3 linked regions of the Kluyveromyces lactis genome follow. The protein of the gene in region 3 binds, or shares a complex with, the protein of the main gene of each other region. Links are inferred from orthologs where the notes say so. Each region holds a gene or a part of one and is shown on either strand. Other genes may lie near its edges.

Region 1 (2,826 bases), on a different chromosome or scaffold from region 3:
AACTCTTCGTTCTTAACCTTGTTTGTTCTGATATCTGTTGCCATATTTTGTTTGTAAGTTTATGTGTTTAAAAGCTTCCTCCAAACGCTTACCACAAAACCAATATCTTTGAAACTTACAGCGAGAGAATAGAGGTTCCTAATAGGAGATACAATTATAAGGTATGTCTGCTATCTTTTGTCCTGCCCCTTTATATTTCGTAAAACAACCAGACCTTAATGGTGATATTGAGCTCATTGGTTTTTCATTTTTATATTGTTTTCTCATAGAATGAATAACATGGTAAGTGACTTTAACTATGTGACGATTAGATGAATTAGGTTTACGATAGGATAAAGCTTATATACGTTCAATTATTGGACTAGAAGCATATGAAAAACCTGATGTTTGTATTAGGTTAAATTATTTATACATGCTTTTCTTGCTAGTTGATGCTACAAGTTAAATATAAGCGTTTCGCCTTCATTGTAATGACAGAAAAGTGACACATTAGATATGAGCTAGGTCTTAACACCGGGTAGGACGCGATTGGACATCTCTTGTTCGAAGAATGAGATTCTCAATTGGTTCGTTCTGACGCTAATTAGTAAATCGAGTCTTCTTTTGACGTTTTCTAGAGAGTCCTTCTGTTCCGAGAGATCGTTTTGGGACAATGTAATCCAATCCTGATGCTTAGCACATTTTGTCTTTACACAAACACCGTCAACTGATGTGATATTACTGTTTTCGTCTTCTTTCAACTGAAGTAGCTTATCTAAAAACTCCTCAACTGACCGAGGGATCGTGAACTCATTATGGTAGCCGCATATTGTAACTTTACTTGCACTTTTCGACTTCTTTCGACCTGTAGGCTGATTGAAATGTGGGGATAATCTCTCGTTAACTTCACCGATCCAGTTGACGTATTTCTCTATTACTGCATCTTCTTCATTTAGTTTTGAAAGCTTGACCGAAACCAACTCATCGTGTTCGTTAATTAATTTGTTTAAATGCTGATCATTTTCTAGCAACTTGGAATATTGATCTTTGGATAAAGGTGACGTGACTTCTGGAAGCTTGTCTCGTCCTAGCGTTTTAAATTCCTCCAATGATGTTGTCTCGTTTAGAAGCTGTCTCAACAATGCAATCTTATCTACGCCAGGTAGATTTAACTTATCAACAATGCTTTGAACGTATTGAACAGCATGTTTCTTTGAACAATATTTGCTTCTTGAATTGGCATCACACTCTGTATAGCATTCAGGGAGCCTGCATTTCCTCTTCCAAAGAGTTTTCGGTAGTTTGCCGCCATTTATCAATGCCGGTCCTGTAATTCCAGCACTACAATACGAACAGTAGAATGAAAAAACGAGATCTCTATATTTCTCGGGGATCTTTAAACAGGAAAAATGAAACCAATCATCACATCCATCACATCCTACCATCAACTCCCCAGTGTCTGGTTTCTTACATATACAATAAACTTCTTCCCCAGTTTTTGGGTCGTGTTTCCTGCTGTCATACCTGGGGCACCAACTAGGTAATGACATCGTGAATACTGTAAATTCAATCCTATACTGGAGTTATCTTATGATGATAAATATCTAGGCAGAAAAAATGAAGTATATTCTTTGTAATATTCAAATGCAACCATTCATGTACCCTTCACAGGCCATATTTGTGTTATTTCTCTGTTTATTTTACCTTCATCGATTCGTGTAATGGTTTTTACATTTTAATATTCCTTTTCTGATGCAATGTGTAAAGATGGAATGTAATGAATAAGCCAACATCAAATTAAGAAACAGATATACCAAGATTCTCAGAAATATCACTTGCCCTTTGAGTATATGAACAAGTGCGTGATTCGCTGACTTATAATTGATAAACTTCATGACTGCTGCGAAATTGACACCGTTGAAGCCCATTCCGACCAAACACATCGACCCCGATTTAGCAAAAACCCCCGAGGATGCCAGCGTCAATTTAGTGTTGAATATTAAGAAATGGCTAAGGTGGACGCAAAAATGGTCTTTATTCCCTCTAGTAACGTACTTTCCGTTACACGGTATCAATGCCCTAATAATTCCTGCTCTTGAGCCCTCCTCTTTTCCAAACGATGCTTTAATGATGGTTAGAGAACTCACATCTGGACTTGGATCTAAGTTGATTTGGACTGGGATATCAATACATATATTATCCGGATTTGCCTTGAGAATAATGAGGAAGCTGCCTACTTCTTCGAAAACACATAATGCCGAATCCTTGCTGGATACTCAGTCACTTGCACAATCTAGAATTGGTCTTGTAGGTGGTTTAAGTGGGTACTTTATTGGGATCAAGAGAAACCTTCAATATAATCCACAAGAGCTTACAGGATGGTTGTTAACTCCAGTATTATTCTTTCATGGTGCCCTCATGAAATGGCTGCCAAATACGGCGAAAGTTGATATAGACTTTGATTTTGTCAAATGGCTACTAGATAAAGACAGAGGTGCTTTGGTGAGGATAGGTCTCGGATATGGCCCCTTGGTTGCTCTTATTGGTTTAGGATCGTATCATATTATCGCTGGAACCGTTCAATATATGCATGTCCGTAGTCTAAAGACTCGTAAAAGAATAATGAACTTCATATTGCTGCTTATTTGTACCGGATATATTGGAATAAGCAGATTGGGATCAGAGATCGTATTCGGAATGGACAAATATTATAGACCAATCCTAAGAACATTGTCATTATCATGAAAATGTATGCTTTACTTCCTGCCAGTGATACACCGTTCATCGTTAATTTTATTCACCATGGCGCTTGTTTTGGTCTTCCTGTACCTAGTTTTATTTATTGTG
Region 2 (3,106 bases), on a different chromosome or scaffold from region 3:
TAACTTGTATCAATTAATTGTGAATCCTCAACAAACGTACCTCTCGTTCTGTCGAGCATAGATCCTTGTTCGTGAACTTCCGCATACTCGTTATCGTAATCATAACTTTGATCGTACTCTTCTTCAGATTGTTCACCAACTTGTGCTGTCAGCAGTACCGATTGTTCTGTATGTTGATGATTATGATTTGACACAATAAATGAAGAGGAAGTTTGGTAGGCATTAAGTATTGGTTCTTGCCCTGAATTGTGTTCATTTTGTTGCTTGTTCTGTTTACTTCCCTTCTCCTTTTCGATCTCTTTTAGGGTTTTATCAATGCCAATAGGTCGCAAACTTGAGTAGCCAAGAGATCTTATCAGCAATAGTGTCGATTTATCTAGAATGTTAATGGTATTGGAATCAGACACATCTCCGTCATTATTGGCAATTAAAGGTTTCTCACTATGGCAAGTATACGCCGCAAGAGGAATCAATCTCTTCCCAGGCTTGATCCGTCTCTTGGTATCTTTATCAATGTTCCAACTCACCGGTTTCCCTTTTCTGCTTGTCTTGCTTTGCAGAAGCTCTTTTCGTAGATTGTTTATCAAAGGAATGTTATTGAAATCGGATGGTGCAGAAGGTTGTCTGAAGGCATCAAGGCCATACATAAACTCTCCAAGCCCCATATCTTACTTGTAAAGCCTACTGTCTCCAAAAATATTTTGTGAACAGCCTCTTAATGTCTGTTATTGCCATTGACACAGTGGTGTTTAACAGGACACAAGTAAATCATGATTTAAAGGTTTTATTTTAAAAGAAATAGAAAAAGCATCAACAAAAATAAGGAGAGCTGTACTACTCACCAATTACCAGTAGTTAAACGCCGGCGTCTTGATGGCATTCACTCCAGTTATCTTATATTTGATATGAATTGATAGAAGACACTAAAAAGAACTGAATATTATATATTAGTATGTATGTTTGAATAAACGTTATTGGTGTAACTACAGGTTACGCTTTCTTTCCATATGATCCAAGAACTTGTCAAAAGGAGTCTGTTTCCTAAAATAAGCACTTCTTTCAGCCATGTTAGCCAACTTATCGAATAAGTATTCTCCCCAGTCAAGATACCGTTTAATATAATTCTTCAAGTCAGACATTTCATAAGCGACAACATAATTGTTACTTCTACGCAATCCAGCCAATACCATAGACAACAACGCTAAGTCAATACTGTAATGAACTATATCTTTAACCTGATTGGAATTTGATAAATGCAGTTAAGATTACCTTTTAGTTAGTAAATCAAAGTCCGTTGATGAAAACGGTGGTGTATCTAACCACCTTCTTCAAAAAAATGAACGGTACGTACACCCATGATTCTTATTACAAATCTCAAATATGTCAGTTCTTTATAAAGCCAGAGTAAGACCAGAAAGGCTCTATTTCTCTACCTGCAAGTGACTAACACTATTGATTTCTTTGACAGATGTCATTACAATTTCGAGGAACATTTAAATTTAAATAAAACTGTTAACACCATCAAGAAATATTACCAATTTGGAGACAAAAAGAGAAGCTCAACGGGACACCAGCGGTTTAGCAACAGTTCTGTGATTATCTAAAAGTTAGCTGAGAAAGGAAATATGACTGTTAGCATTTCCAAGAGCAATCTTCTACGATTTGAGCCTGTGAAGTCCTTCAGAGTTTCTGATAAAGAATTGGGACCTATAACTTCAGTGACATTTGATGACCATGGCCAGTACTTGTTGACTGCAACTGCTAGTGATAATATGCATCTATATGATGCAGTAAGTTGCAGGTTTTTGAATACCATCGCTTCTAAAAAATACGGATGTCATTCCGCAAAGTTTACACATGCGCAATCAGAATGTATCTATTCATCCACTATGAAATCGTTTGACATAAGGCATTTGAATCTTGAAACAAACACATACCTTAGATATTTCCAGGGCCATGGTGCTCTAGTGAGCGATATACAAATGTCCCCGTTGGATGATACTTTTTTGTCTGCATCGTATGACGAATCGGTAAGACTTTGGGATTTGAGAAGCTCCAAGGCACAGGCCCTTATACCAAGTTTAGTCCCCACATGCATTGCTTACGATCCAAGCGGGCTTGTGTTCGCCATTGGTAACCCTGAGAACCATGAAGTCGGTTTATATAACGTAAAACATTTGAAGGCGGGCCCATTTTTAGTTATAAATGTGGATCCAAGCTTTGATCAGTGGAATAAATTGGAGTTTTCAAACGATGGTAAATATTTGTTGCTTGCGTCGTCCGCTGGAAAACATTTGATCATGGATTCCTTCGATGGTACACAGTTATTTGAATTATCAGGAACTAAACCTTTCCCATTGAGAGAGTTCATGGATTCTGGATCCGCAACGTTCACTCCAGATGGACGCATTACATTGGGAACTGATTACACTGGGAAGATCGCGATATGGAACCACGCAGACTTCATCAGTGGTAGGACGCTCAAACCTCAAGGATTTATTAACGCCGCACCAAATACATGTCCCAGAACTATTGCATTCAATCCTAAATATAGCATGTTTGTCACTGCAGATGAAACTGTAGATTTCTACGTATATAACGAATGAATTATACTGGGATCTGGATATATGACTTCGAAGCCAGACTCTACCCAGAGCACCCATCTATTTAGGAATGGCACTCGACATCTCGATAACATTTCCATGTTACCGATGACACAAAGCTGCCTTTTAGGTCTGGTCATCGCGACATTTAATCTTCTTTCATCTTTCAAGAACCCAACCTCGAAATTCTCGTTACTTCTTACTAAAGATAGGATGATGCACTCCTTTTCTCTACCTTGAAATCCGTCTACGGTAGATATCTCAATTGCTTGATGCTTTTCATGGATGAGTTTTTTCAACAGCGATACTTGTGAATTATACGGGGAGATCACACCAATACTTTCTTCCGTAACACCAGCCTTTATCAACTGCTCAACGTGGTATAATGCCAAATATGCTTCATTTTCGTTGTATTTTGAAGAGACTAGGTGGAACTTATCGTCTGCATCGTTGTCATTTTCATCAGACCTTTCTGGAAAGTCGTCTCCCTCAGTATCTAACCA
Region 3 (4,375 bases):
AATAATTTCCTGACCCATAGCCAGAAAGTAAATTATTCTTCTCATTTATGGATCGCGTTAGATACTCTGATAGCTCCTCGTAATCTATTTGTTTTTGATCTTTCAGCCTTATTAGTTGTTTCAATGCCTCGATATAGTTTATCATATCTTTAATATCAACGTTATACTCATAGTCAACGTATTTGTTCAAATCATTTAATGAATCTATCAATTGCATCGTTCCATCGTTAAAGGCTTTGATACTGTTTGATAGCTCCTTTTCATCGCAGCAAAGTTCTTGTAATCCTGATAAAGAGGATTGTAATTTCTTCAAATTCTGTCCGATCAGATCAACTCTTTTCACAGATTTATGGAATAGCTTGTCCAAATGGCTCAAATTATGGTCTAACTTTTCGCTCTTTTCCTTAATCTCGACAAACTCATCCCTTTGTCTGTTTACGTGTTTGAAAGCGTTTATCAAAACATCACTAACTTCAGAAGTGGAAATTTGCCCCGTCAAACTCCTTCTATAAACATCCCAATCTGTGCTGGTCAAAAACGTTTCCAAAATCCTGGATTTGGAAAGCTCTGAGTGACTCAACAACCTGCGCATGAACGTTTGAAGAGAACGACAACGTTTCTGAGTAAAAGAATGTGAGAATCTATCCCCTGAAAGATAATTTAGGACTTTCTTATCGGGTAATGGAGGAACAAGCAGTGCAGGATGATCGTTTATCAATATTTGATGTAGGAGTACAAAATCATTGTACCTCCTCACCACACAATTCGGTTCATCTTTGCCATCTATTTTCGTGGATACTTGATAGGTGATATATGTCTGCGAATGCGTTTTCTGTTTCTGAGGATCAGACACCAGCACACTTAATATTTTAGTATCTGATTCTTTATTTGTCAAAGTTCCTGATTCACTCATATTGCATGAGATATTATTCGTATTGCTGGCGTCAGTATATGACGGCTTCTTGTACAGTGTTTTACCTTCTATTTAGTGATCCCTTTTCTATCATATGAAGTTCTTCTGGTTTACTGTGTTTCCAACTATTTTTTTTTATTTTTAAGGTAACAACTCAATATAAGGTATAAGGATAGTTTAAGTTCTTTATAACCATGAACTATTCGGTCGAAATGTTTTCACGGTGCTAGTTGGTCCAACACATTGGAGTGCTAAGCTTTGGAGAACTATAATGTTAATTTACGGTTACGTTCTCTATAAATGAGTATTTAGAAAGATTCTTTTTCTATTTTATGTATCAATTTCGTCTATTAAGTCCCATACAATATCACTTGCGATCTGCTCATTGTAGATATCATTCAGAGTTTTGATATCTACATCTTTCGGTAGAAACTTGAGTTCCATGGCTTCTGTTATGATCGATGCAGTGCCTCCCTGGAATGAACTCAAAGTGGCATAATAACCTAGCCTGTTGTTGTTTACGTATTTATTTCTTATTTCGATCCCCTTCGTGACATTACGTTTATTCCAATGATGCAAATAAAACTTCTCATTGTACTGCAATTCGCTGAACGGAGGTAAGAATGGTGTAAGGCCTTCGAAAGCTATTCCATGGGAAACACCATTTACGAAAACTTCGAAGCTCGAGTTTTCAAGTTCGTAAAACTTTTGCATGTCGTCCCTGTTGTCATAATATTCCGGTTTTGTAGTTTTGACATAATCGGTACTTTCGTAAAACAATTGATTTTTATATCTGATGGCAATTTGATCTCTAACTACATTCGTTGGCTCGCATGAACGCAGTAAAAACTTGTAGAATTCCTTATTGAATTTCTTATTCCTTTTGTTGGTGCGGCTGTCGTCGTTGTTTAGCTCTTGGATTCGTTTTAAACTATAATCCATGGCTTGCTCGCTTTGAGACTGCAGGGAAGGTAAAGTCAGTAGAAATCCGATTCTATCACCTGCTTGCATCTCGTGTGGTTTCAAAACTGTATGCAAGCGGCCTTCGTGAATAACTTGCAATCCTTTATCTCTAATGCTATAACCGTAAAAATCACATCCGACTGGAGTTTCTGTTGATGCCTCTCTTCTGCTTATCCCGCATCTGATGTGTGATGTATCAGAAACGTTTTTCACCTCCACTTCCCAGTATATTTTTCCTTCTTTCATACAAACGTCGCTTCTAACGCTCCTCCACCCGCAGTTCTCGCTGACACTCACCGAATGGTCGTCCAATGAAAATGCTAATTTGTCGGATCTATCCATCAAATTGATAGAGCTTTTATCAAAATAGTCTGTGCCACAATACTTGAGCTTATCCAACATTAGATTTGCAGCACAAGGCTGATACATGAAGTTTCTCTTATTCAATGGCGTGTCCTCAGTGATATAGTACTGTTGTTCATTAATGCGATGAGATTCACTCAATTGCGGAAAATCTGGTTTTTTAATGTCAGAACCGAGATCTACTATATCATAGTCAAGGTATGGTATCACTGGAACACTCATTGAAGATGTCCCGTTTCTTTGTACACTCCTTACAAGCTTGGAGAGTTGTGTTTACTCGAAATTACACCGATCTGTTCTTATGTAGACTTTCACATTTTACAAAATATTATTAAACATGAATCAAGAAAGGATTCATTAATGTCTTTTGAACTTCCAGGCACAATAAACCGAACCAAGAAGTACAGTAGACCAAGATACTTGGAATAAGACTCCACGATCCTTTTGATTGATAGTTTGTGTTTGTTAGGTGTTCTCTTGATGTTGTTAGCGTAAAGTCCTCAATTTGAAATGGCAAATAAAGTTACGAAGGAATCTTCCGGAAATATTTACAGATCAGTTGCAGCGTGCAAAAGGTGTAGAATTAGAAAGATAAAGTGTGACAATAAGTTCCCATCATGTACGAAGTGCATTCAGGCACAGGAACCATGCATAACTATTGATCCCAGTACGCGAAGAGAAATTCCACGTTCTTATGTTGTATATTTAGAGGATAAAGTTCTGGCTTTGGAAGAATTGCTTGAGAAGAATGGCATCGATCCAGAGCACGCAAACGGCAATATTCCAGCCACTAGTGATGATAAAGCATGCGACATTGGCCTGTTTGAGGAAAGGGAAAGGTTAAGAGGTAAGCATAAGTTGCCCAATGGCAATGAGATGGCAGGCTTTATAATCAATAAAGGTACTTCGATGTTGAATGGAATAGTAGATAACGCCCGAGATTTGAAAGATGCCAGCAATCAATTTTCCAAGGTTGGCATAGTCAAGCAAAAGATAGAACACGAAGCTGATATGGAGGAACCCTCTGCATCTTATCTTGGTGATTCGAGTGGCATCTCGTTCGCCAAAATGATGTTCACAGCTGTTAAGTTCAGACCTGATGTACTACCGAAAGATGAAAAAAACAGTGCAGGTGGTACCGCTCATAAGATACCAAGGTTTACAAAAAAACAATCTCTTAAAATACCGTCAAAATCTCAAGCTGAAGCAATGATATCAGACTATTTTACCGCTTCGAATTCTCAACTTCCAATCTTACATCGGGAACTATTTTTACAGAAGTATTTCAAGCCCATTTATGGCTCACTTTCGCCTCATGTATCTTGGGCTTCTGACCACACAAAGATTAATGATATATTTCAAATTCCTGAGGCGTTCAATCCAGTAGAATTCAAACAAACGTTGGTTTCATACCTCGAAGAAAATCCTGATGCAGACAAGATTCCTGTTGAATACCATCAGCCGTTTTTCTTTTTGAACATTGTATTTGCAATTGGGCTTTCTACAAAAATTTTGATTAATACCGGATTTGATCACCGGTTGTTCAAATTTTGTGCTGATCAATATCAAGACAGTCTTTACACGTCAAAAACTAATCGGCTCGAAGCTTTGCAAGGACTCTTGTTGATTGCTGTATATTCTTTGATGAGACCTACGGTTCCTGGGTTGTGGTACACTCTTGGATCTGCTATTAGATTATGTGTGGATCTGGGTCTACACGCTGAAAAACTCAACAAAAACTATGAACCTTTTATAAGAGATGTTCGTAGGCGGCTTTTCTGGTGTTGTTACTCAATGGATAGGCAGGTATGTGCATATTTTGGAAGACCTGTCAGCATTCCTGATGTAAATGTGACAACTATGTTTCCAAGCTCCCTAGATGATGCGTTGATTACCACTGCAGAAGATAATGTCAGAGATTATTCGTCCCCGTCACTAGTTAACTCTGACCCAACTTACAAATCTGTATGTCTATCGATGTTCCAAATAAGAAAAATACAATCAGAAATTGTGCAAAGAATGTATGCTCCTAACGCAACCATTCCTGATGAGTTTTTAGATTTAGAAGATTGGAGGATAGCTATCCTTAATCAACTAGATGTTTGGTTTCAGAGAGTTATCCCAAAGACATCCATA

Evidence for each region. The genes of interacting proteins can lie anywhere in the genome.
Region 1: BRE2 (region 3) and SPP1 share a complex: the UniProt entries of both Saccharomyces cerevisiae proteins name them as parts of the set1C/COMPASS complex. The link is inferred for Kluyveromyces lactis from reciprocal best matches to the Saccharomyces cerevisiae genes BRE2 and SPP1.
Region 2: BRE2 (region 3) and SWD2 share a complex: the UniProt entries of both Saccharomyces cerevisiae proteins name them as parts of the set1C/COMPASS complex. The link is inferred for Kluyveromyces lactis from reciprocal best matches to the Saccharomyces cerevisiae genes BRE2 and SWD2.

Annotation. Positions count from the first base shown.
Region 1 is NC_006040.1:618,333-621,158, reverse strand, and holds SPP1 (Spp1p), read right to left. Parts: upstream 1,530-2,826; coding exon 501-1,529; downstream 1-500. Other genes in the region: KLLA0_D07282g (uncharacterized protein), read right to left, coding at 1-44; MCP1 (Mcp1p), read left to right, coding at 1,873-2,724. UniProt on the Saccharomyces cerevisiae protein: Component of the Set1C/COMPASS complex that specifically mono-, di- and trimethylates histone H3 to form H3K4me1/2/3, which subsequently plays a role in telomere length maintenance and transcription elongation regulation.
Region 2 is NC_006041.1:1,606,746-1,609,851, forward strand, and holds SWD2 (WD-repeat containing protein SWD2), read left to right. Parts: upstream 1-1,625; coding exon 1,626-2,606; downstream 2,607-3,106. Other genes in the region: MND2 (Mnd2p), read right to left, coding at 1-665; MCO12 (Mco12p), read right to left, coding at 984-1,235, 1,352-1,357; ATP-dependent 5'-3' DNA helicase HCS1, read right to left, coding at 2,588-3,106. UniProt on the Saccharomyces cerevisiae protein: The COMPASS (Set1C) complex specifically mono-, di- and trimethylates histone H3 to form H3K4me1/2/3, which subsequently plays a role in telomere length maintenance and transcription elongation regulation. Involved in mediating RNA polymerase II termination.
Region 3 is NC_006039.1:939,850-944,224, reverse strand, and holds BRE2 (Bre2p), read right to left. Parts: upstream 2,462-4,375; coding exon 1,244-2,461; downstream 1-1,243. Other genes in the region: SNX4 (Snx4p), read right to left, coding at 1-913; KLLA0_C10923g (uncharacterized protein), read left to right, coding at 2,750-4,375. UniProt on the Saccharomyces cerevisiae protein: Component of the Set1C/COMPASS complex that specifically mono-, di- and trimethylates histone H3 to form H3K4me1/2/3, which subsequently plays a role in telomere length maintenance and transcription elongation regulation.